7 linked regions of the Cricetulus griseus genome follow. The protein of the gene in region 5 purifies or fractionates together with the protein of the main gene of each other region. This does not show direct contact. Links are inferred from orthologs where the notes say so. Each region holds a gene or a part of one and is shown on either strand. Other genes may lie near its edges. The genes, in order: Polr2d, Cdk19, Rpap2, Cdk8, Med21, Med12l and Polr2m.

The links.
Region 1: the proteins of Med21 (region 5) and Polr2d purify together in Homo sapiens (affinity purification with mass spectrometry; 4 studies listed by BioGRID and IntAct, with this or other methods). This does not show direct contact. The link is inferred for Cricetulus griseus from reciprocal best matches to the Homo sapiens genes MED21 and POLR2D.
Region 2: the proteins of Med21 (region 5) and Cdk19 purify together in Homo sapiens (affinity purification with mass spectrometry; 6 studies listed by BioGRID and IntAct, counting the BioPlex papers as one, with this or other methods). This does not show direct contact. The link is inferred for Cricetulus griseus from reciprocal best matches to the Homo sapiens genes MED21 and CDK19.
Region 3: the proteins of Med21 (region 5) and Rpap2 purify together in Homo sapiens (affinity purification with mass spectrometry; 3 studies listed by BioGRID and IntAct, with this or other methods). This does not show direct contact. The link is inferred for Cricetulus griseus from reciprocal best matches to the Homo sapiens genes MED21 and RPAP2.
Region 4: the proteins of Med21 (region 5) and Cdk8 purify together in Homo sapiens (affinity purification with mass spectrometry; 14 studies listed by BioGRID and IntAct, counting the BioPlex papers as one, with this or other methods). This does not show direct contact. The link is inferred for Cricetulus griseus from reciprocal best matches to the Homo sapiens genes MED21 and CDK8.
Region 6: the proteins of Med21 (region 5) and Med12l purify together in Homo sapiens (affinity purification with mass spectrometry; 3 studies listed by BioGRID and IntAct, counting the BioPlex papers as one, with this or other methods). This does not show direct contact. The link is inferred for Cricetulus griseus from reciprocal best matches to the Homo sapiens genes MED21 and MED12L.
Region 7: the proteins of Med21 (region 5) and Polr2m purify together in Homo sapiens (affinity purification with mass spectrometry; 3 studies listed by BioGRID and IntAct, with this or other methods). This does not show direct contact. The link is inferred for Cricetulus griseus from reciprocal best matches to the Homo sapiens genes MED21 and POLR2M.

Annotation. Positions count from the first base shown.
Region 1 is NC_048595.1:205,582,468-205,586,738, forward strand, and holds the start of Polr2d (DNA-directed RNA polymerase II subunit RPB4), read right to left. Parts: upstream 2,801-4,271; 5' UTR 2,744-2,800; coding exon 2,671-2,743; intron 1-2,670. UniProt on the Homo sapiens protein: Core component of RNA polymerase II (Pol II), a DNA-dependent RNA polymerase which synthesizes mRNA precursors and many functional non-coding RNAs using the four ribonucleoside triphosphates as substrates.
Region 2 is NC_048595.1:262,975,347-262,978,846, reverse strand, and holds part of Cdk19 (cyclin-dependent kinase 19), read right to left. Parts: intron 865-3,500; coding exon 754-864; intron 1-753.
Region 3 is NC_048600.1:2,380,563-2,384,062, forward strand, and holds part of Rpap2 (putative RNA polymerase II subunit B1 CTD phosphatase RPAP2), read left to right. Parts: intron 1-210; coding exon 211-1,123; intron 1,124-3,500.
Region 4 is NC_048597.1:82,215,072-82,218,149, forward strand, and holds part of Cdk8 (cyclin-dependent kinase 8), read left to right. Parts: intron 1-1,645; coding exon 1,646-1,743; intron 1,744-2,412; coding exon 2,413-2,491; intron 2,492-2,634; coding exon 2,635-2,793; intron 2,794-3,078.
Region 5 is NC_048601.1:3,057,122-3,061,143, reverse strand, and holds the start of Med21 (mediator of RNA polymerase II transcription subunit 21), read left to right. Parts: upstream 1-1,222; 5' UTR 1,223-1,316; coding exon 1,317-1,358; intron 1,359-4,022. UniProt on the Homo sapiens protein: Component of the Mediator complex, a coactivator involved in the regulated transcription of nearly all RNA polymerase II-dependent genes.
Region 6 is NW_023276806.1:92,255,573-92,259,072, forward strand, and holds part of Med12l (mediator of RNA polymerase II transcription subunit 12-like protein), read right to left. Parts: intron 2,208-3,500; coding exon 2,087-2,207; intron 1,754-2,086; coding exon 1,652-1,753; intron 980-1,651; coding exon 866-979; intron 1-865. UniProt on the Homo sapiens protein: May be a component of the Mediator complex, a coactivator involved in the regulated transcription of nearly all RNA polymerase II-dependent genes.
Region 7 is NC_048597.1:182,991,350-182,995,376, reverse strand, and holds the start of Polr2m (protein GRINL1A), read left to right. Parts: upstream 1-1,227; 5' UTR 1,228-1,367; coding exon 1,368-1,480; intron 1,481-3,280; coding exon 3,281-3,919; intron 3,920-4,027.

The sequences.
Region 1 (4,271 bases), on a different chromosome or scaffold from region 5:
CCCCAAAAATTGGTATAGTGGGGTGCCTGTATCCAGCAGTTGGTAGTGAGACAAGGTATTTATTCCCTGGAGGCAAGCTGACCAGTTAGATCAGCTGTGAGCTCTGGGTTCAGCAAGAGTTTGCCTCAGTAAGTGGAAAATAATCAAGGAGGTTATTTAACATTAACTCCAGGCCTCTAAAAGCACCTGCATAAGAACATGTGCCCACACATATGTACATAACATATACATACACACACAAACAAATAAGTTAATGTTGCTATCTGGGCTGGGAATGTACCTTGGTTGATAGAATGTTTCCTCAGTATGCACAAAGCCATAAATTCCATCCACTGCACCACACAAATTGGGCACATGGCTGTAATACCAGGACTTGGGAGACAGAGACAGGAGAATCTCTGCATGTGTGATGCCAGCCTGGTCTACATAGAAAATTCCAGGTTAGGGCTGGAGAGACGGCTCAGAGGTTAAGAGCACTGACTGCTCTTCCAGAGGTCCTGAGTTCAATTCCCAGCAACCACATGGTGGCTCACAATCATCCACTATGAGATCTGGTGCCCTCTTCTGGTGTGCAGATATACTGGAAGCAGAATGTTGTATACATAATAAATAAATAAAATCTTAAAAAAAAAAAAGAAAAGAAAATTCCAGGCTAGCCAGTGCTACATGAGACTCTATCTCAAAAATTGGGGGTGGGAGGAGCGAGGGCATAGTCCACAGAGAAGGCTTAGTAGTTGAGAAGTCTTGATGTTCTTACAGAGAACCCAAATTCAGTTCCCCACAACCAATTCAAACGGTTCACATAAATCCATACATCCAGCTCCAGGCAATATGATACCTTTGGGCTCCACAGGTACCTGTATACACGTGAGTCTGAGAGTATGTGCACACAAGCACGCACGCACGACACACACACAATTTTTCTGTAGACACTTGGTTACAGATATCAATAATTTTTGTTATCAGGCCGGGTGTTGGTGGCCCACGCCTTTAATTCCAACACTCAGGAGGCAGAGGCAGGTGGATCTCTGAGTTCAAAGCCAGCCTGGTCTACAGAGTGAGTGCCAGGATAGGCTCCAAAGCTACACAGAGAAACCCTGTCTCCAAAAACCAAAAAAAAAAAAAAAAAAAAAAAAAGGATTTGTTATCATAAACAGGGGCTGGGGATGTAGCTCAATTTTTAGAGTGTTTGTTTAGAACGCACAAAAAACTAGGCTTAAGCCCGGTGGTGGTGGCATAAGCCTTTAATCCCAATACTCAGGAGACAGAGGCAGGAGGATCTCTGTAAGTTCCAGCTAGCATGGTCTACAGAGTGAGTTCCTGGACAGGCTCCAAAACTACAAAGAAATCCTGTCTTTAAAATAAAAACAAAACAAAACAAAAACAAAGAACAAAAAAAATCTAGGTTTAATTCCTAGCATCATGGAAGTAGAAGCAGGAGGATGGCAAGTTCAAGGCCATTCTTGCCTACTTCCTAGTTTCAAGCCAGTCTGGGCTACATGAGACCCTGCTCAAAACAAAACTCACAAAGGCACAGCACTCATCTTGGTGTTTTACTCGAATGCCTAGGCTAGCCTTGAACTCTTGGGCTCAAACTATTCACCTACCACAGGCTCCCTGTAGCAGGAGCAAGGTGGCACACAAAAATACATTGAACAGCAGGTACCAGTCATCCCAGACTGGAACCCATCTTGCTTCCAACTGTTCTTCATAACTCAAAAATATAAAAAGAGGGCCCAGAACCCAATGACAACAGCATCTCTGCTCAGGAGCAATGGCACTCTTCTGACCTATAGACCTTGAGATGCTTTTGACTAGCACTATAATGGGGCTATAGCTGAGTTTCTGCCAGCTGTCAATTTAGAATAGAGACCTCTGCTCCGACCTGCAGTGGTGGTGCACGCCTTTAATCCCAGCACTTGGGAGCCAGAGACAGGATCTCTGTGAGTTCGAGGCCTGCCTGTTCTTCAGATCGAGGACAGGCTCCAAAGCTACAGAGAAACCCTGCCTCAAAAAGCAAAACAAAACAAAACTAAGACCTGTGCTCCAGATCTGCCTTTTGCATGCCAGAAAATGGACATAAATACCTCTAAATGTCAAGAGCCCATGCCCTTAATTCCACCACTCAGGAGAATGGGGCAGGAATGTGACAAGTTGGAGGCCAGCCTAGGATACATAGCATGAAACTCTGAAAAAAACAAAACTGCCAGGTGTGAGACGCACGCCTTTGATTCGAACACTCACAAGGCAGAGGCTGGCTGATTTCATTGAGTTCAGGGCCAGCCTGGTCTACAATATGAACTGCAGGCCATCCAGGACTACAAGTGAGACACAGTTTCAAACAATAAACAAACAAACAAACATAGGGGGATCTCTGCGAGTTCGAGGCCAGAAACTCTGTCTCGAAAAAGCAGGAAAAAAAAAAGGTAGCAAGTGGCACTACAAGAGTAGGGTATGTGGATATCCACGATTCCAAAACCCCGGGCGTGGACGTTTCTCCAAGGAATTAAGTAAACCACGCAAGGGTTCATCTGTGCCGTGCTGACCAATCCCCTGTGCGTATCCCTTGGCAATCCTACGACGTGCCAGGGCTAGGGCTAACCAAGGAGCGGATAACGACTGTAACTCAAGGACCATGTCACCTCGGAGTCGAGGTGCCCCGGGTCCCACCTTTAGGAAAGATGAGCTGAGACGCGTCTTCTTCTACGTCGCCAGCCCGGGGATCGCTGCCGCCGGCCGCCATTGCTTCAGGATGTACCGCCACAGAAACCACCGGAAACGGAAGCCGCGAGGGCGGGCTACCCACCAAGGGAGGAACCTATCCGGTTCAGGGGCGGGGCCAGATGGAAAGGGCGGGCCCTAAGGAAGCCGAGTGGGCGGGAGGGGAAGGTTGGAAGGGGGAGGTACTGGGGCCACTCACGAGACTGGCCTCACTGCGCGAGGAGGGCGCTCAGGTCGCATTCCTGGTGGCTCCCGGTCGTTGGAGGGGGTTCTGTACTGCCGTCTTGGAGATGAGCTGTTTATTTTCTCCAAACGCTCTTGCCGTGAGACCTGGAATGGTCAGTAAACCCGTTCAGGAGAAAAGGATTAAGTGAAGTGCAGGAAAGACCAAAGTGACCGACCCAAGGAATGGCCTATGATGGGAAGGAAGCTGGGTAGGTGACTACAGAAACATATTGGAATGTCTTTCAATGATTTGATTATGTAAAAAACAAATTGATTAACCCGATGTGGTGGTCATGTATTAATCTACTGGGCAAGAGGATAAAGAGTTGAAGGAGAGCGGTGTATAGTGGCAGATGCCTTTAATCCCAGCAGTTGCAAGGCAGGAGCAGGAGGATCTTAGAGTTCAACGACAGTGATAGTTTCAGGACAGCCAGAGCTACAGAGTGAGACCATGTCTCAAAAAACCAAAACAAGCAAAAACAACGTTCGAGACTGAGCCTTGGCTATATAGCAAATCCGTGATTCATGCCAATCCAGGCTACATACCATCCTGTTGCAAAATGGGGTGCGAGGGTTAATTGTTTGTACTGTATTTAATAATTCAGAGCAAATGAACTCTAATATTGAGAATCCTTTAGTGTGTCTGTGGGACGTTTGAATCATAAGTGGAAAGTTAAAGGAAAAAGTAATGCTATTTTCAACACAAGAGAAAACAAGTGTTTGTACAATAAGGGGGGAAAAAATCTTCCCCAGCGCTTGGCTCATTAGGAAACAGTACTAAATTCAGCTAACTTAATAAAAAATGAATTGAAGGGGTTGGAGAGATGGCACTGTGATTAAGAACACTGATGTGCTTTTAGAAGACCTGAGTTAATTTCCAGAATCCACATTAGGAGGCTCACAAACACCTGTTGACTCCAGCTACAAGGGATCCAAAGCCCTTTCTATCCTCTTTTGGAGCACACACACCCTGTACATACACACAAAATAAATCTTTTTTGTTGTTCTTTTTCGAGACAGGATGTATCTGTGTTAACAGTCCTTATTGTCCTGGAACTCATTCTGTAGACCAGGCTGGACTTGAACTCACAAAGATCCACCTGCCTCTGCCTCCCGAGTGCTGGTATTCAAGGTGTGCACCACCACCACTCGGCTCAAAATAAATCTTTAAAAATGGATTGAAAGCCGGGTGGTGGTGCCTTTAGTCCCAGCACTCGGGGGACAGAGGCAGGCGGATCTCTGTGAGTTCGAGACCAGCCTGGTCTACAAGAGCTAGTTCCAGAACAGCCTCCAAAGCCACAGAGAAAACCTGTCTCAAACCCCCC
Region 2 (3,500 bases), on a different chromosome or scaffold from region 5:
CTCTCACACCAGCATGTGGGTCCTGGGCAGGTACTTTTTACCTACAGAGCCATCTGTCCAGTCCAGAAATGTAATTTTTATTAAGAAATATTGAAGAAAACACTGGAAGTTGTCATCAACAGTTCTGTAGCAGCATGCACATCAAAGGTCATTCAAGACCTTATAAGCTTGTCCAAGTTGTTCTTAAAAAGATTTTTTTTTTTTTTACTTTATGCAGAAGGCACACTGTAACATGCTGAACCAAATTTAACCATAATTTAACTGTTAAATTTGGAATTTTTTTTTGGCAGTTTTAGAAACAAAATGTTTGAAATGCTCCAGTTCCCAAATTTTAAAGTTAGGAATTAGGTTTTTTTCCCTTCTTTTATGTATTAATAAGGCATTCTAAAAACTATACTCATCATTTTATTTGGCAGACCCAGTTTGAAATACCAAGATATAGTAAAAAACTACTCACAAGCATATACTGGATGAGAACTGAGCCCTGTGAATTTACAAATGGAAGCAGTATTCACTGTGCCTGTCACCAAACTGCCATTAGCTGCCTGCACAGAACCAGTCTGTTATCCTAGCAAAACTTCCTCCCAGAAACTTGTGAGTGTACCAGACAGTGCCATCTTCAAATCAACATTTACTGTAGCTGCTCTGAACTGGAATGAACAGTGAGCTTTCTTTACTGTACATGAGTAGTACATACTGCTTGCATACATGGCCCTTACCTATGTCCTTTGGACACAGCGAGTTGAAACTTACCCAAAGGTCATGTTCTGCATAGTCAAACAACAGCCACACCTTCCTGTCGCTGTGCGAAAGGAACACCTTCTGCAATGCGATCACGTTAGGGTGCTTCAGTTCTCTCAAAAGCTGAGTGCAAGAGAAAGAAAGGTTACTACTCAGTAGAAAGGAGGGCTTAGAAGGGAACCCTACTCATAACTGAACAGTTTATTTGAAACAAGGTCTTCTGTATCCCAGGACACCACCTTGAACTCACAATCCATGTGCACCACCATGCCTAGCTTTCAAATGAACTTTCAAATTTTGGAAAAGCCAGGTGAGCAGCATGAAAGGGAGAAATAGCTTCCAATACCATTCTTGGAGAAAAATTCTGTCAGCGAGCATGTGTGCACATGTGTATTTTAAAAACAGGACTGTTTGAAATGATGAACAAAATGAGTCCTGCATCACTATAGAATTAGCTGGGTCTGGGAAAACAGTTCAGTCAGCGAAGTGCTGCAGGACTGGGTTCCTCACTGGCGGGGAGTTCTATCTAGGTCATGGAGAGACCTCATCACAAAATACAACAACAAAAAAAGGACTGAGGAATGACACCCGAGGCTGCTCTCTGGCTTTAACATGCATGCCCATGCATGTATGTACAGACACAGTCAGTCAACTCCTCTCCCAAAAAAGAAACTGTACTTGGTCCATGTGTATTTTCTTTATGAAAGGACTATCTTCTTGAGAAAAGAAATCATACAGTCAATTTATATCTACAGTAGCACAATATCAGAGCTCAATATATATATATATATATTCTACAAAAAGGAAAGAAAACTGAAAATTCCACTCCTGTATCTATGGGGCTTATCGGGCATGGTAAGTCTTGTGTGCAGTGACAAAGCCTGGAGGTGACAGTGGCTAGAGTCTGGCTCTTGAATATCTCCAAAAGTCCTATATGCTAACGGCTTAGTTCCCAGCTCATGTTGACATCCAGAAATACTGGGCTCTTTAGGACATACAGTCCAGTGGAAGGAAGCAGGACTGTAGAGTTTTAAGCTCACTCTCCTTGGCTTATACCCCAAGAAGCTCTGACTACAAGGTACTGTGCACAAGCCCTAGGCCAAGAAGCATGGCCTAAATCTCTGAAACAATAAGCCATAATCAACCTTTGCCCATAGTAATCTGATTATCTCAAGGATCTGTCACATCAATGGAAACCTGACTAACATAGCAGAGGTTCTGTACATAAAAAAGAATAGCCCTCACAATACACAAGCTTCAGGCTCCACCCTGACAAGAAAGTGGACAGACCAAACAAGCAAATGAAAACCACCTGCACATTACAGGCAGCAGCTTGATAAACGATATAGGAACAATGACATGAGCTCACGATAAAAGCCTTGTAAATATGCCTGGGGTTCAGAATTAGTAAACACAGAGAAGCATGCTTGATTTTATTTTTGTTTTGTTTTTGTTTTGTTAAGACAGGAGCTCACTATGCATGCTGACATAGTCCTACTCAGGAGGTTGACGCAGGGGCATTTAAAATTTAAGGCCCACTTGGGCTACAAAGTGAACTCAAGGCCTAGGCAATTTAGTGAGACTCCATCTCAAAACAAAAAGCAAAAAGAGGGGTGGGATACAGTTCAGTGGTAAAATGCTTCCCTAGCTCTCGAGCTCGCGCACGCGCACACACACACACACACACACACACACACACACACACACACACACACACACACACACACACAAATGGATAACAAACAACCCAATTATGTTAGCCCAGACTGGCTCTGAACTTATGATCCTCCTGCCTCAACCTCCCAAGTGTGTGTAGTACACATTACAAATGTGTACTACAGGGAATGGAGAGATGGCTCAGCAGTTAAGAGCACTAACTAGCTGCTCTTCCAGAGGACTCAAATTCGAATCCCAGCACCCACATAGCAGCTCTGAAAACTCCAGTTCCAGGGGCATCTGATGCCCTCTTCTGGCCCTTGCAGGCACTATGTGTATGCAATACTCAGGCTTACATGCAGGCAAAACATTATTCATACATATAAAAAAAGCTAAAAAATAAAAACTGAAAAAAAACAAACAAACAAATGTGCACCACAACACCTGTCTTGGTAAGCAGTTTTCATGTCTTTTTATGTAAAGCTCATTAGACTTTTGTTGAGTATTTTTTCTTTTGTTACCTGTTTATTGAATACTTAAAATGTTCAAAATTATTATATACAAATGCTTTACTCTCATCTAATTCTAATAACAATTCTACAATGCAAACATTTTAAAGACCAGGGAAGGTTAAGAGTCCTTCTCCCTTGGGTGGGGAGGCAAGAAGAGCAGGTGTTGAGCTAAAGGTGTCTACCTTTGACCTCTGATGCTATGGCTCAAACAGCACTTCCTTTTGCTTTAGACGACAAATTAGTCCCATGTTCCTAGCCAATGACAGGCTCATCCCACACACAAGCGTTCTAAAGTTAAATGAAGAGTCAGCCACTGTGAAAGTTGCCACACTGGGACAGGTTTCTGCACATGCAGGGATGGGCGGCTGAGCCAGTGATGGAGCAGAGTGAAGTGCAGAATGGCTTTCAGACTCAGCTTCTCTGAATCATTGGCACTAGGCCTATGTTTCTATTCATACAGTTTATTCTACCAAATATTTACATCTGCCTCCCTATTAACTAGGAACTCCTCAAAGACAGTTTAATTTACCTCTGTGTCCCTGGGAAATGAATGATGAAGGCACATTGAAGGAGTTTGCAGGGTGTGTTGTT
Region 3 (3,500 bases), on a different chromosome or scaffold from region 5:
AAAAGAATTGTTAGAAACAGGGAAAGGAAAAGAATTGTATCAAACATGTATTAGAAATGAAGAAATTAAAGCCTTCTGAAGTTTATGTGTGAGAAAGTATAAGCAAGGCTATGTCTAAGGAACGGAATTTTTTACCTCGAAAATTCCAGGATGTAACTTGAAATGCTTTGTCTTCCAATTGTCTTTGTTTTGATTGTCTTTCTTGGACAGTGGCTGCTCTGGAGAAGTAGTGCAGTTTTTCAAAGACGCCATTACAGCAGCAGATATTGATGGTCCTGGTGCCTGTGAAGGTCTGTCTCCCAGCACGTGTAGTGAATGCACCAGTGATGATGAGCAAGGCTTCGTTTCCTCGCTTCTCCCAGGAGACAGACCGCAGGCAGCAGATACGAGGCCACAGCCGTGCAAAGACAGCAGCACAATGAAAAAGAAAGCTGATCAGAAAGTGGACTCCAAGCACAGAGAACAGACAGTGGCAGATGTCACTGAGCGGTTGGGTAACTGCAGGTTGGACAGTCAGGAGAAAGCCTGTGAACTTCCCTCAAAGAAAGAAGATGCTCAGATTTCTTCACCCGGCCCACTGTATGAAGGACTGCACACCTTAGCAGTTCCTGACAACAGGCGCAGTGTGCCAGAGGTCACTCTTGTGGGGATTAGCAAGAAAAGTGCTGAGCATTTCAGGACCAAATTTGCCAAATCTAACCAAGGTTCCAAGTCAGCCTCCGGCCCGGTGCAGGTATGTCCTGAGGTTGCAAAGGCAAACTTACTTCGAGTTCTAAAGAACACCTTGACTGAATGGAAGACAGAAGAAACACTGACGTTTTTGTATGGCCAAGATTGTGCCTCTGTGTGCCTGAAACCATCCTCGGCCCCTGTACCTGATGAAGAACTCGATGAAGATGACATAAGCTGTGAGGCAGGTAGTTGTGGTCCTGCCCAGAGCCAGCCTCAGAACAACCTTGATGACACACTACCAGTCAGAGGCTCAGGTACGGCCATTAAGCCAGTGCCCACCTATGAGAGCTTGAAAAAAGAAACTGAAATGCTGAACCTGAGGGTCAGGGAGTTCTACAGAGGACACTATATCTTAAATGAAGAAATGACCAAGTTGCAGGACCCAGGAGAGGTATGTCGTCCAATGATTCTCTTTTTTTTTTTTTTTTTTTTTTTTAGGCTGCTCATATTTGGAGAGCTCAGCAAAGCAAATCTGGGGCGTGCCTCATGCTGCTTTCAGTAGGATAGATTAATTGCTTAGACAGCTAAATGCTTTTTGAGGTAATGTTCAGTTAGCGTCTGTCTGAAATGTTACAGGCATGGCTAGGAAGTTGGCTCATTGGAGAAGGTACTTGCTACCCAAGCCTGAGGAGCCAAGTTCAGATTCCCGACACTCATAGACGGAAGGCACAGTGATGTGCATCTGTTATCCACTGCCAGGGGAGGGGAGAGACAGGGACACGAGGGGCTCTCTGATCAGCCAGTCTAAAAGAAACATCTCCAAGTTCAGGGAGAGGCTATCTGCAAATGAAGGTGGAGGCTCAAGATAGAGGACATCATGCATGCCCACGAGTGCACTTTCACACGTGTAGGAAGACACACCTCACAAGCCAAAAGATGAAAGGTTACAGTGAAAACACTACAGTAAAGGGATTTACTGGGCAGTAATGAATACAGATGAGATCCACCCAGTCATTAAAAACTTAGTTCTTCTTAGTTCTTAGTTCTTTGTCTGTACACGGGACTTTCAGTAGCTTTCATCATTTGTTCGTCTGTTCAGAGTATGTGACATCACATAACTGGGTACAGAGTCCTCATACATAAAGGCTGAGTATACACTGCTGAGGTGTAGGAATGAGTCTGTAATATTCCCAATGCGTACTTCTGGTTTATATGTGCTGTCTGGAGGTCTTTTAGTGTGGAGAGAAGAGTAGATAATAGTCTTGATTTAGGATAGAACTCTGTTATTAAAGGAATTATAAGAAATGTTGCCCTCAAATTAAAAACACACTTGGAGATTTGGAGAGGAAAGATAGAAAGAGACACACATAGAAATTTCTTGGACCTTTACAGAACTTTTGCCTAGCCTCGCACCATATTTGAAACCACGATATCATTTTTAGATAGCATCCAAAACTTACATTAAGCTCGGAGGAACACTGGCTTCCAGAGAGCCGCATAAGCCTCACCACCACTTACAGCTTTACACTAAGAAGCCTTGCAAAGGAAAAACCAGTGTCTGAAGTGTGATTGTGCTGTAGAACGATTTATAGCTTTTTTTTGTTGGTGTTCAACAGCAAGTGTACAGATTGTTGAGTGTTTATAGTGAGCGCACAGACCAGGAGGTGCTTCCTTATAAGGAAAATGGATGACATCAGTGTCTGCTGTGATCATTGCCTCTCCCAAAATTATTATCCTACAGTAGAGATTACTTTTGCCAATTTTGAGCAGGCTATATTCTTTGCTATCCAGTTTGTTTCATAGAATACTGTTTGGGCTGGTTTGGTTTTTATGCGTTTGTGTTGTTGTGTGTGCCTGTAGTTCATTCTTTCATTACTGAGGAGTGTGCCATTGCATAAGTACAGTAGTCCCCTGGGTCCCCGGGGCTGTGTCCCATGAGCTCTGAGTCTACCTTTCGTGTGACTCTGCCAAGGGAAAAGAAATGTCTCCTCACCTTGAATAGGGACCAGCAATCCAAGGAAAGTCTGTCCAGGTCCAGCTTTGCAAGACTGCGCATGCTAGGATCACTGAGAGGCTGGGCAGCCATGGCTGCATGACTGGAAAGTCATGCATTGGTTGATGATCACCAACATCAGCCAGCCTTCTACCTTTTACATGCTCTGGCACCAGGGCCACATGTAGCTGGGAGGCTAGAGAGAAGGAAGTGGAGCTGAAGTCTCTGGCCTTCTATGGGGAAATGTTCACAGCTCCCTTGCCACTGTCAGACACCCAGCTGCCATGGCTGCTAGCCCCAGAGAATGTGCTTCATGATGGACACTGGTTATGAAGTCTCCTGGGAGAACGTGGCTCTGCTGCCCACTGTCCCATGAGTGCTTTTGAAAGCTGTGTTGCTCACTTATGGAGGGTTCATTGGCTCTTTCATATAGTTCCAGTTGTCTGCTAGAATTTTCAACTGTCATTTTTCTTTGAAGATGTTAACTTTATATAGCTTATATAGTATATCATTTAACAGTAATATAATTTCATTATCTGAATCCCTGAGAATTTGGCTTTGATGGGCTAATGCTCCTGATTTTTATTGCATTGTCTTATTTTATCAGATATCAAACATTTTGCAAACTGAGCTTAGTGATACATGCCTGTGGTCTGATGCACATAGGAGACCCTACCCTGAGACACAGGATATTGTTACCCTCTAGGAGGCATCTGTTCAATTCTCATGAGACTTCCAGCAATCCCACATCGCCATAACCTGATCATGAGTTGAGGTGACTTAGTGATGACAACAGTCCTTAAGAGTCAGTCTTTCTCCTATTCCGTTTTACTCG
Region 4 (3,078 bases), on a different chromosome or scaffold from region 5:
TACAAGTTTGAACTCCACCAGCAGTGGAGGAGTATTCCCCTTTCTCCACATCTTCTCCAGCATAAGCTGTCATTGGTGTTTTTGATCTTAGACATTCTGATCAGTATAAGATGGAGTATCAGAGAGGTTTTGATTTGCATTTCCCTGATGGCTAAGGGATGTTGAGCAGTTCCTTAAGAGTCTTTTCGCCATTTGAGATTGTTTTGTTGAAAATTCTCTGTTTAAATCTGTATCTCCCCCCCCCCCCATTTTGGTTTTTTTGAGACAGCGTTTCCCTGTGGCTTTGGAGGCTGTCCTGGAACTAGCTCTTGTAGACCAGGCTGGTCTTGAACTCACAGAGATCCGCCTGCTGTACCCCATTTTTAAATTGGATTCAGCCCTCTGTCACATGTAGGGTTGGTGAAGATATTTTCCCATTCTGTAGGCTGCCGTTTTGTTTTGTTTACTGTGTCCTTTGCTTTACAGAAGCTTCTCAGTTTCAGGAGATCCCATTTATTAATTGTTGCTCTCAGTGTTTGTGCTGTTTGTGTTATATTTAGGAAGTGGTCTCCTGTGTTAGTGCATTCAAGGCTAGTTCCCATTTTCTCTTCTGTGAGGTTCAGTGTGTATGAATTTATGTTGAGGTCTTTGATCCATGATCCATTTGGACTTGAGTTTTGTGTATGGCGACAATTAGGCTTTAGGAACAGGGCTCAGCTCTCTGTCAGGCTTTGGGAACAGAGCTCAGCTCTCTGTCAGGCTGTGGGAACAGGGCTCAGCTCTCTGTCAGACTCTGGGAACAGGGCTCAGGCTCAGCTCTCAGTTTAAAAAAAAATCCTTGCAACACTTGTGTGGCACACTGAAGTTTGCAGAAGATCGGAACTTGTTATATCACATTAGGAACAAACATTGCCAGAAGGTATTTAACCCAGAAGTGCTGCGTTTCCATACTAGTGTGGTATCTCTGGATGTAGCAAGGATGAGCTCAGTGTACTACATTACTCACACTTACAGTGTGCTCTCTTTATTAAGAACTATCACAAATGCTGAACCATATATTTCTTTAATACTAAAACAAGCTATGATAGTTTGTACTATTTTTATTCTCTATCTAGACAGATATGGTTACAAAGAGGGGAACTGACCTGCCAGGTACTCTCAACCAGTAAATTTTGAGTCAGGGTTTGGACTAAACAGTTGAGTAGGGTAGCCTCTAGCTCCATGCACCTCTTGAGTACTTGATTACCTGGTATAGCTGTGAGAATTATTTTTTTTAATTATAATGCAGTTTTGCTGAATTTGGACACAAATCTAACTGCTGTGGCTTGTGCGTTGTTTATATTACAACACTTTCTCCTGTTAAAAGAAAAGCAACAGGAAATGCAAGTTTGGTCATTCTAAATTGTGTGGATAATGAAGGGACAAAGCACTGGGGAGGAGGGTCAGAAGGTGTTAAGTGTAGTCACCAGGAGATGATTGTGTGTGCTGTTGCATTAATAATTGTATCTTGTTACTGATAATTTGAGAGAATAAAAACCATTCATGTTGTAGTGTTAGCTTTTAGAAGCATGCCACCCCTCATGGGTACTGACATATAAGCTTAGGGATAGTGCACTAATGTTTTTGTGGGAGCATGCACTGATAATTCTGTGACTTGTGATTTCAGCTTCAGAAGTTGCTCACTATGGACCCAATAAAGCGAATTACCTCAGAGCAGGCCATGCAGGACCCCTACTTCCTAGAAGACCCACTTCCCACATCAGAGTAAGTGGTGGATTTGCTGACTTCCTGAATGCTGGCATCTTTAAGTGCTCTTCCTCTTAGTTGGCACACTAAGTTGCCATGCCTCTGAGGGATTGCACTTGGGCTCTGGTGTTCCTAAATAAACTCATGTTCTCTCTCTTTTTTTTTTTTTAAAGATCGATTTATTCATTTATTCATTTATTTATTTAGCATGTGTGCAGAACACTGCAGGTATGTCTGCATGCCAGAAGAGGGCACCAGATCTCACTACAGATGGTTGTGAGCTACCATGTGGTTGCTGGGGATTGAACTCAGGATCTTTGGAAGAGCAGGCAGTGCTCTTAACCACTGAGCCATCTCTCCAGCCCCCTCATGTTCTCTTTACTTTCTTTGTTTTAACTGGAGAAGGGCAGACAAACACTGAGCAGTGGTAAATACTTTGTACCAATGAGAGCTGTCCTGTTTGGTGATTATTGATTATGATTACACAGTGAAGAACCTTCCAACCACCTGCTGCAGTATCATTGGTTAAAGGATTTTTTGTATCAGATTTGCATGAAAGATGCTTTTATCTCTAGCTATGGAGACCAAGTCCTGTCTTCTTAAAACGTGACAGTGAGTCACCTAAGTGAAACCTGGGAAATAACAGGCATCATGTGATAGAGCTCTTTTCTTTCCTCTTGTGAATAGTGTTTTTGCCGGTTGTCAGATCCCTTACCCCAAACGAGAATTTTTAACAGAAGAAGAACCTGATGACAAAGGAGACAAAGTAAGTATTAAATTACAGTCGGCAGTGCCTTCCTTGTGGCCACCTCTGTGACCTTTGGGATGTGGCCACTTCTGTGACCTTTGGGATGTGGCTACCTTTGGTTCTCCTTCTGAGTTGAACTATTTTCTGTTTAACCAATTGAGAAGAACCAGCAGCAGCAGCAGGGCAATAACCACACTAACGGAACTGGCCATCCGGGGAACCAGGACAGCGGCCACGCACAGGGGCCCCCCTTGAAAAAAGTGAGAGTTGTCCCTCCTACCACTACCTCAGGTGGACTCATCATGACCTCCGACTATCAGGTATTACAAGTGTCTCGTACTGACCTGCTGTTCTGGGGCTTCTAAAGGATCTGTTGCAAAGTGTGGTCTATAGTAGATTGGTCTACCTGTCAAAATATATCAGCATAGAATATTACAGGTATGGAAGACTACAGAGATGGAGAGTAGAAAGGGATCCAACTTCTGAACAGACTTGGAATAGAAAGTCCAAGGTCAGCAATCCAGTAACTTGAGACCTCTGTGGTATATCACAAAGTATCTACTGCAGCTGGGAGGCAGTGCAGCAAGCAAAGCACTCCCACATGA
Region 5 (4,022 bases):
ATTTATTTTTATTTTATATTGGTGTTTTTGCCATGAATGTCAGGTTCCCTGGAATGGAGTTACAGACAGTTGTGAGCTGCCATGTGGTTGTTGGGAATTGAACCCCGGTCCTCTGGAAGAGCAGTCAGTGCTCTTAACCACTGAGCTATCTCTCCAGCCCCAAATTAGTTCTTATAATTTAAATGGACCTGCCCTCCCCCCAGGGTTTCTCTGTGTAACTTTGGAAGCTGTCCCGGAACTCGCTCTGTAGACCAGGAGGGCCTGGAACTCAGAGATCTCCTGCCTCTCCCTCCTGAGTGCTGAGATTAAAGGTGTGTGCCACCATGCAGGGCAACCCATGTTTTTTAATTTGCTTGCTTTTATGTAACTTGTTACCTTTACTTATCTTTACTTAGTTTTTTATTACACCAATCACAGCCATACATCTTCCCAGTGCGCATCACACAGTATCACTCTTCGCATGTAAAACTATCAAAGATCTCAATTCTAAATCTAAATTCTGAACCTGCCTAACTTGCTTATTTTCCTGGAACCTCTCTTCTGGCCCCAGGGCCCTTCCCTTTCCTCTGAAGCCTTCTCTTCCTCACAGCTACAGAGGACTGTGTAGTTAACTGTGCTGACTACACACCTCTTATCTCCAAATGCCCATCTCCAAATGCCTTTCACCTCCAAAGGTGAAAACCTTTGCCTGTCATTCCTCACCACGGCACAGTTTAACGCTTAGTTTCCCACGCTTCCCATTTCTGCTGTGTCAGTTTCCCCACTCAAGAATTAAAGCACGAATCTAGCCTACAGTTGGGCAAGCACCTCTTGGCCCAATCCAACAAGACACCTAACTAACTCTTGATTTCCTGGCGAATGATAATCTGCTGGGTTTAACCATTTGTGAAGGGTTCGCCGTGTGGTCCACCTGGAAAGCACAAGTGAAGGAAAACAAGTGTTCCAGATGACGCCCAAAACAGAACCCCGGAGCCACACGCAAGCAAAACACACCGCGGGCCCGCCAGGACCGCCTCAAACACGGCTACAGCCAGGACGGCAGGCGGCGACCGTCCCTGGAGCATCTCGGCGCCGCGGGCCTGGCTCCACCCCCGGCTCCGCCCTCCAGACCCGCCTCCCAGACCCGCCTCCCCGGATCCGCCCGCTCCGCCCGCCTCCCCGGCCCCGGTGAGCCGCGGGATAGCCCCGCCCTCCGCCGCAGCGTGCGTCCTTGGCCACGCCCCCTGGAAGGGAGCCCTGTGATTGGCCCAGAGCCGCCATAAATTACCCAATCGCCGCTGAGCGGGGAGCTTCGGCGTCGCTGCGTACGCGGGAACATGGCGGATCGCCTCACGCAGCTGCAGGACGCGGTGAACTCGGTGAGGCTCCCGCCTTAGTCGGCCTGTCCTTCCCGTTCTTCCCGTTCTTCCCGTCCTTCCCCTCCTTCCCGTCCTTCCCGGGGAGGAGAGGAGAGGAGAGGAGAGGAGGGCCGGGGAGAGGAGGGCAGGAGGGCCGGGGAGAGGAGGGCAGGAGGGCAGGAGGGCCGCGTCGAGCGGATGTTCACAAGGGCGATTTTTGTTTTGTGTTGAGAGAGTCTCCCGCGTACCCCCCTGGCTGACCTGGAAATCACTGTGGAGACCAGGTTGTCAGTTAAAACTAACAAAAAACAACTGGGGAGTCATAAAATCTAAACAACAGAAGCTCCTGAAAACTGCTGCCTTCCATAACCTTGTCCCTTCTGGCTGTTACTCTTTTTGGTTTTTGTTTGTTTGTTTTTTTGGGACAGGGTTTCTCTGTGTAGCTTTGGAGGTTGTCCTGGTACTCGCTCTGGAGACCAGGCTGGCCTCGAACTCACAGAGATCCTCCTGCCTCTGCCTCCGGTGTATTGGGATTAAAGGCGTGCCCCACTAACGCCCTGCCTCTGAGCCACATTTTTAATCCCATTAATCCCAGCCCTCTGGAGGCAGAAGCAGGCAAATCTGAGTTTGAGGCCAGCCCCAAAGTTAGTTCCAGGACAGCCAGAGCAGTGTAGAGAGAGACCCTGACTCCAAAAAATAAAATAAAAAATGTTTCTGCTTATTACCATTAAGAGCACAACACTTTTCCACTGGTAGTTAAAAATGTCCGTGTCATCCTGGTTGTAGTTTGTTCTAGGTAAAGTGCCTGTAGAGTGTCTGCCTACTGGAAAAAAACAAAACCCAGTCCCTGGCCTGTGTTTTTCTTACAGAAAGGTCATAACTTGGCTTCTTGGTAATACATCACTTTTAGAGATTGTGAATCTACTTGTGGGAAAACTGCCTACTCTGTAAATAAAGTAGTTTTTAAATTGAGGGGCTATCCCTAAATGTTGGTGAACTCACCAAGCTAAAATGTAAAGATTTCCCTGGGCTGCCAGCCATTCTCTCCCAAGAAAGTACTCCTTTGAGGTTTTAAAAATCTCTTAATGCAGTGTAGGAGCTTATCTCAGAATTTCGTCTTCGTGTAGGTCCTGTAGCTAGGGTGGTAAGGATGCTATATGGTCTTGACTCATGTTAGGAATACTGTTAATTTAGCTAACTTGGATGCCTACTGTGTCAATAGGCAATGTGTTTACAAAGAGCTACCCCTGGGGGAGCTTAGAAAGATGCCATGAACTCAAGAGACTTTCAGATGTGAAACCCCGTTCATGGCTAGGGAGTTAGAGTAAACTGCTTTCAGTTCTTCAGTGCTAAAGTAGATTGGAACATAGAGCAGTGTTAACATTTGTTCTACCATCTGGAAACATGTTCATCTCTATAATATTTATATATAGTACTTGCCATGGGGTTCATTTTTCAATAAATATGTTTTTGAACAGATGAACAATGGGTCTTGAAAGCATTTGCAGGACAGAATACATAACTACTGTTCTGAATAAGTTTCATTTGGGTTTTTCTTTGTCTTAAGACAGTGTTGCAAAATGGAATGCTGCAACTTAAAATAAAGTCACCCAGGTTAGCTTTTAATGACAGCTCAGATTTTTGTCATTGAAATAATGACAGCAAAATAATAGAAACAATAGAAATGCTGTTTCCTGATTGGAAGATTGGAAATAATAGTTGAGGTTCCAGGGATTAGTGAGAAGTTGGGTGATGGGTTATACATGTGTTTAGTTTGCAGATGGTGTGAACTTGTGTTTTCAAATTACTTGACTACATTGGTTTTTTTTTTAGTTCTGCCTTTTTTGAGAGAGTCTCTTATGTAACTATGGCTGGCCTCTGCCTCCCAAGTGCTAGGATGGAAGTTGTGCACTGCCGTGCCCCAACAACAAATACATTCTGAGCAGTAAGATTACAATTGGAGTCTTGTAGAATTACAGTTCTGATAACTTACAGTAAGAAATTTCTTCATGTAGTACAGACTGGCCTGGAACTTCCTGTGTAGTTGAGGGTGACCTTGAACTTGGGTTCTTGCCTCCTGATTACCAGAATTACATGTTTGCGATGTTACTCCTAGGTTTCTGTTTCAGTGCTGAGGGTCCACTTCGAGGCTTCACCATGCTAGGCTAGCAGTCTCCCAGCTGAGCTTATCCCCAATACGCCCACTATTTGTTTATATTTGGTAGCTGCTCTGCACAGACAAGAGATCATGTGCTTTGTACACCCCAATTTTGAACCTCAGGAAAGAACAGACAATCATTCTTGCAATTAGAATAGAATGTGTTATCTACCAGTTCGACTACTTTGGTATCTTAGGATTTGTTTATAGAGTTATGATTTGAAAGAGTCTTTTTTTTTTTTTTTTTTTTTTTTTTTTTTTTTTTATTTTAAGTATTCCTGTGTACCTCATGGGCGCCTGGGACCCATGGAGACCAGAAGAGGCTATCAAATCCCTTGGGATTAGAGTTACAGTTGTGAGCTGTGGATTCAAATCCCTTGGGATTAGAGTTATAGTTGGGAGCTGTGGATTCTGGGAGTTGAACCCAGATTCTCTGCAAAAGCAGCCAGTACTCTTAAGCATGACTCTTTCTGTATTGCAATTTCTGCATCTGCTAGGATGGATACCCATAAACATTCGAAGAGAGG
Region 6 (3,500 bases), on a different chromosome or scaffold from region 5:
AAGACTATGCTATTATTCTTTGCCATCCACAAATAACATCTGTCAAGCAAGGTAAGGTTATATTATTTGTGTTATTTAAGGTTCACCTAGACTGGCATCTGTTCATTCAATAATTCTGCTTAAATCAAAAGGAACTACTTAAGAATATGAAATGGTCACTATTGTTTGGTTAAGGTAAAAATGAGGTACCCAAAGTTAAAAGTAGGCAACATTTGAGATCCCCTAATCAATCAAATCCTTTATGACTTACATACTAAAAATATTCGGAGGTGTTCCACTGCCCATGAGTAGAAGGCAGTGCTATTACTCTAGCAAAATATGCACAAGTAGGAATGTAAAGGGCTTCGTGGGTATCATTCATTAGATCTGAAGCCCGCGCACCTCCTACTGATCATTGGCAATACTAGCATCATTGTGGCTCCACCTGTTTCATAAAAAACATATCGTAGGTTGATATGAACTTGTTCAGAGTTACAAAAGAAGCAGAGACACTAGGTTAAAACCCAGGTTTTCTGATGTTCTGCATCTGGAATATAATCTGACCAAAATTTAAACTTTTAACTAAAAATGTCATTATTCTTGTCTATCATGAAGAGTGATTTACATCAGAATGAAGTACCATGCAGTTAAAACCAAACACACAATACTTATATTTCAGTTCTCCCCAAGGTCACCTTAGCTAAGGGACAGAATCCTTGAAGTTCCCATTACTTACACTTAGGCAAAGACAATCATCTTTTCCAGGACAAACAAACAAAAACCCTAGGTTTCCAATGACATTAGGTAGATTTCACTGTGAATACAAATCATTTTTGCCTCCACTTCTGGTGATTAACCAAGAGGCTAAATGCCAGGATAGTCTTACCAAGCATCATAATTGCTTTTAAGACAGCAAAAACTGCTCCCACTTCTATGCTGTTGTGAGCGGCGGCTAAGAGGTGTCTATCACAAGATGATCTTATTCCAGGGAAAGGTTTGCCTATGAAAACAACAACAAACTTTTAACGGCCTTTTCAACATCATTAACCATCTTCTGTTACCATTTACACTCAGTAAGGTCTTTCATTGTTAGCTTGTGGGCACTTAACTGACATTAGTTTGCTTTAATTGATGCTCCACAGACTCACTAAGAAACACTGCCAGTATTCTTACTTAACCCTTTCTCTTTAATTATTATTAAAACAATGTTCTTGCTCCCCAGAGAGATGTAGGAAAAAGATTAGTAGAATTCCCACACAGATGCATCCATCTCTATATGGAAATGATTTAGTGCAAGACTTTACTAATACCCCCCACTGCCTTAGGAAAAAGTAAATAAATGAGCTGTCGTCCACCTAAGGTGAGACAGCATGGCCCAGAATCAACACCGGCTATGGAAGAGGATGAGACTTCTCTCCAGCACGGTATTTCCTAAGAGCTCAGGCATTTTTATTGTTTATTAATTCCTCATGTTATTTCCCAATATGTCCTCATATTACACAATGAGAGGTGTGGGCAGACCTTACAGTGGCAATATCTCAGTCCTGCATCATCTGCAGATCAAGCCCATGGAAGCCAGGGAGGAAACTACAAACTGGACAGCTCCCTTGGTCACAGCAGAACCCAAAGTTCCAAATACACAGAAGCAGAGCTTCCTCTGAGGTCAGCTCACCTGTTGCTTGAGGGAAAAAGCAGGCCTGGGGAGCTCGGAAGAGGTGAAGCAGGAGGCGGCATGTCATTCTTGCCCCTGGCTCTGCATCTGCATCTCCACAAGCTGGGAAAAGGGGGAGATTAAAAGCAAGATTCCTCACATACTCCCCAACAAGCTTTTCAGGTTTTCCCCTGCTAAAATTTCAGTAATACATTAAATAAATTCTCCTCTGAACTAAGTTTACCTTTCCAAGGAACTGTCAGGCTGCCTTAAACCAAGTATAAAGCAATAGGGGATTCCTGTTCAGTTCATTGTTACTCTGCATAAAACAGCCACTCCAGTTATACCATTCCCACCAGGTATCCTGCCACCCTAATCCCCAATATGGTCCTTTCTCCATGCTTAAGTGACTCCCAACCAGCAACCAATAACACATGCTACTCTGGGCCGGCTTACCTGCTGCTAACAGAGAGGGAAGGGCGACATGTTGCACGACGTCCTCCAGGGAGAAACACTGTCGTGCTATCAGGATAGCAATGAAAGTAGCTAATGAATCATGGAATGAAAGGTCACTCACCTTTAAGAAAAACATTGACAGGTTTTAATACCCAACACCCTTTAATACAGTATCAGAGACCACTATCTAAGAGAATACTGGCAAGACAATAAGATCTCAAGTAAGAACCAACAGAGGGAAATGACTTCAATTAATGTCTTCTTGGGCCTATGTCTATGATAATAAGACAAAGCAAGTTTACTCAGATCCCAGTGATCTAGGAGGATGCTGACCTTTAACTTATTTGCATGCAACTCCAAAAATATAACGCAAGAGCAAAATCAAGAAGCTACTAAAAGATATGTCATAATTGGTAGCTGCCAATTGAATGTACTATGTTATTTATGGGTAAGGCAGGAAGCAGGAGAAGATTCCCCTAGGGGGAAAACATGACCCACTAACACTTGAACATTCTTTTCTATTACAACTAATGAGTTTTTTTTTTAATATGAGAGAATTCATTTAAAAAGGACTCTGAAAGTTTTCAATAGGCTACTAAATTTAAAGAGAAAGATGAGAGAAGGGGGAGAAAAATTACTCCTGCCCCTGTGAAATCTCTACATTCCAGATCTCACAAGCATTGGAAGATAATACAAAGGGAACACAACTATCACAATGGCAAGCTCCCAAGGGATCGTTACTCGATGCAGCAAGTCACAAAATTAGATTTAAGAAAAACTTAGGTCTTTGTTGTGTGGAAAAGCAGGCTACTACAATAGACTACAACTAATAGCTTAATCCATAGAATGAAGATAAGGATGCAGGACTGTCATTCAGTCCCAAGACAGAAGAAACAGGAAATGAACCTCAGCTCTAGAACTATCAGGTTTCTTTAATAACATATACAAATTTCTGACAAAGATGACTAAGATAAAAGCATAAATGGGTAAAGAATACACAACGATGTTTAAGACATAAACATCATGGGTGCAATCTGGAACTCCAGGAAGTCATGTACGTGATTTGGACAGTCGCTCCATCACTCCAGGGCACACTCTGAGATACACTGAATGTCCTCTGAGTCTACACATGGCTTTTCTTATGGAAAATAAAAACATCTATATTCTTAAATATATACGGGTTCTCTTCATGTATGAAATGCTTTATGTCCTGTTCTGAGGAATCCAAGCCAGAAAAGAACAAAACAGCTCTGAGACCATTCACATATAAAACCTCAGCTGCCAGAACATATTGGAATTCCTTCTACTCCTTCTATTTATTTTGACTTTTTAACTTATTTAATTCATGGTTATGACACTATGGTTTGTCACTTTTGAAAACAGAAAAATATTTTTGCTTTGTTACAGTTTAGTA
Region 7 (4,027 bases), on a different chromosome or scaffold from region 5:
GCATAAACAAGCTCACATAGTACAATACTACTTAGCAATATAAAGAAACATTGGCATAGATGAACTTCAAGATCATTACACTAAACATTAACAAAGCCAGACTCAGAAATTATCAAACTATTTTCCAAAGAGGTTCTACTATTTGCAAACCCCTCCCTGTTTAGCTGTCTATGGAAATCTCAGATCTTCTTCTTTCTTCTTCTTCTTCTTCTTCTTCTTCGTCTTCTTCCTCCTCCTCCTCCTCCTCTTCCTCCTCCTCCTCCTCCCTCCTCCTCCTCCTCCTCTTCCTCCTCCTCTCTCCTCCTCCTCCTCCTCCTCCTCCTCCTCCTCCTCCTCTTCTTCTTCTTCTTCTTCTTCTTCTTCTTCTTCTTCTTCTTCTTCTTCTTCTTCTTCTTCTTCTTCTTCTTCTTCTTCCTAACACTTGACAGGGTCAGTCTAATTCCTGATATTCTGATTTGTCCAAATATCCAAATCTTGTTGTTTTGTTTGTCTTGAGACAGGGACTCACTATGTCGCCTTGGCAGGTCTCAAACTCACTATGTAGATCAGGCTGGTCTTGGACTCACAGAGATTAGCCTGTCTCTGCCTCCCAAGTGCTGAGATTAAAGGCATGCACTACCACGCTTAGCTATATTGTGTTTATAAAATGCATTTTATAATTGCTAGTAATACTGGTCATTCATTGTTTTTTAAATATTTATTATGTTTTGATTGTGTGTGTGCTCGTATGTGTGTGCATGTGAACCAGGTGCCTGCAGAAGCCAGGGAAGGTTGTGAGATGCCCTAGAGGTGCAGTTAAAGGCAATTGTAAGCTACCCCACAGGGGTGCTGTTACCCAAGTTCTAGTCCTCTGCAAGAGCACTATGCACTCTTAACCACTGAGCCATCTCTACAACCCCCTGTCATTTATTTTTACGGTTATTAGTGTTCATTCAGGAATCCCTGTGAAATGTTTGTCCAAACACTGTACTGCTTAATTGAGATGTGACACTATTACTTCTGGCATACTTTGCTTAATAGAAGTGAGTCAGTAAGTCTTTGACATGGGTGTCCTATACTTTCTCAAAGCGAAGTCGAAAAGCTGGGAAAGCAAAGGACACACATCCAGCGAAAGCGCGCCAAACCCAGACACTTCTGCGGTGATGTAACTTCCGCCCCTGAGCTCTTCCTCGGGCGCCCCCTTGCTCCTGGCCCGGTCCGTTTCCGGCATTTCAATAAAGCTCCATTCGGCTCGAAGAAGCCGTGCTCTTCCGGGAAAATGGCGACTCCCGCTCGCGCGCCCGAGTCGCCGCCGGCCGCGGAGCCTGCTCCCGCCGTGGGCCCCGCCGGGGAGCCGTGCCCTCCGCGTCAGCCGCAGCCCGTGCACAATGTTCTCGCTGCCCCGCGGCTTCGAGCCCCCAGCTCCCGAGGACTTGGGGCAGCGGAGTTCGGCGGAGCTGCGGGAGAGGTTGAGGCGCCAGGAGAGACTTTTGCGCAACGAGTAAGCGGTGGCTCGGGGGTCGCGGTTGCGGGGAATCGGGACCGGGATCAAGGGATAGGCTCTCGGGGGTAGAGATCCGGGACCAGCCTCCCGCTCCCCGCCGCGGCCTTTCGGGCGAAGGTGACCTTGCGTGGTCATGCCTCCTGGCCAGGCCCGTGCTGCGCGCGGCGTTCCTCCATGCTGCCTGGCCCTCAGCAGGCAGCAGCGCCTGCTCCATTCCACGTCCCCACAGCGGCTTTGAGAAAACGTAACCCTGGGGACCCAGTCCTTGCGACCAGACGGCGTCGATCCCCGCTTCTCTATCTAGAGCCCCACTCTTTCCCAAAGCAAAGGAGACGGGGAGAGTGTGCTGTAAAGATGGGCTAATTAGGCCTAGAAAGTTTCGCTCCCGCGTAGTAGGGTGGATGATGATAGCTGACGTTTTAATTTTTAAAGGCAGCTTTGTTTAGGAGCGGGGTTGAGGTAATAAGAGGCAGAAGACGCCAAAAATGTATTTTTTTCCGAGAGATTTTTTTTCAGCAAGATGGGAAGGTGAACTGTGAAGGCAATCGAGAAACTGGGAAAACTTAAGTACTGGTGAAATAATTTGGAGATAAATACATATTCATAGTTAACAGGTGGTTGAAATTTCTGGGGAGCCACAAAGGATAATGAGAAAATTGGGAGAGAGGAATGGATTCAAGGTTAATTTTTTTTTTTTACGCGGGTGTATTTAGTGGAGGGGAATAATGGCAGGCGTTTAGTTAGTTAAAAGCCAACTGATTAAACCCTGAGAAATGGGTACTAGGCTCAAGAGAGGGCTGAATAAGCAGAGGAACCCCAGTTGCAGAGAGGCAGAAAACATGAATGTGGTGTGGTATCGGGAATAATAGAGGACCTAAGAGATCTTCATTTGTTATGTAACTAAGGGAAAGAACCAGAAAGGGAATTTCACTGAGCAAAAGGGGCCAGTGAGCACTGGAGACAGGTATTGTTTTGATTCTTTTTTTTTTTTTTTCTTCTTTTTTTCTCCAGAATGGGTTGTTAATAATAGCAATAAATTAACCTTTTGATCTCAGGACATTTTTAGATTCTTTAAGAATCACTGGGCATCCCTAAGAGCTCCTGTTTATTTATACTGGCAATATTGCTGATTTAACAGAAACAACTTAAGTCTTTCACAAAAACACATAAGTCCATCTTCCTTTGTAAGATAGTGATGTATTCTATTATGTGACCTCTGTGAAACCTGTTGTACTCAGCTTTTATGACAGAAATGGCAAATAGTGCTTTTGACCCATTTTTCAGCCTCATTAGGGTTCAAAGACCATATTTTTAAAACCACTAGTCTTTATTTATATTGAACAGGTTGAATATCTGCTTTCCTAAATACACAAACCAGAATTTTATATTTTTAGGGAGATTGGAATGTATATGTGAGTGTATTGGGACGGTATCGAGTTAAGACCCAAGTCTCAAAATGATTTCAGTTGTTTCTTATATATGACTTTCAAGGTAATTTTGTGTTGTGTTCTTTATAGCTTGGGTTTTGACTGCATCTCATCATGTGGCAAGGTGTGAAGTTTTCCACAGGGCAGTCATTGTCTGGGCTTGAAGAATTTCAGATTTTAGATTGGGAAAATATCTGATGGGTTCCTGTATTAGGCCAGATAAAAATCAGATTTATTTTGAAAAAACTTCAAAGCCAGCTTTTCTTTGAGGATTATATTCTGCCTTTTAAATACCGTGTTTTCATGTTTAAAAACATGGCTCTAATGTGTACATGTTGGTTTCTTTCTTTCTTTTTTTTGCATTTGACAGAAAATTCATTTGCAAATTGCCCGACAAAGGTAAAAAGATTTCAGACACCGTTGCCAAACTGAAAGCTGCCATTGCAGAACGTGAAGAAGTTAGAGGGAGAAGTGAACTGTTTCATCCTGTTAGTGTAGACTGTAAGCTAAGGCAAAAAGCAACCACACGAGTTGATATCGACATAGACAAGGCCCAGAATTCTGACCTGATGCTTGATACTTCATCATTAGTTCTTGACTGTTCCTCTGTAGACATCAAATCATCTAAAACAACCTCAGAAACACAAGGACCTGTACATCTCACTCACAAAGGCAATGAAGAGACTTTGGAGGCTGACTGCACAGTGAACACCGGCCCTGTTCCCGGCAGTACAGCCAGGGCACCCTCATCTGAAGTTAACAAACATCTCCCCCAACGCCCTGTTTCAAGTCAAGTGGAAGACATTTCCAGCAGCATTGACAGTCTGTTTATCACTAAGTTGCAGAAGATCACAATTGTAGACCAGAGTGAACCCTCAGAAGAAAACAGCAGCTCTGAGAACGTGCCGGAGCTCCAGAGTGAGACGCCTAAGAGGCCTCATTACATGGAAGTGCTAGAAATGCGAGCCAAGAACCCAGTGCCCCCTCCTCATAAGTTTAAGACCAATGTGTAAGTGTCACAGAACAGGGAACAGGCTTGTCCCAAGAATGTTTCATGTGGTATGCCAGTTCAGAGAGTGCTGTGTGTGTGTGAGGATCTTCTAAGCAGGAGTGAACA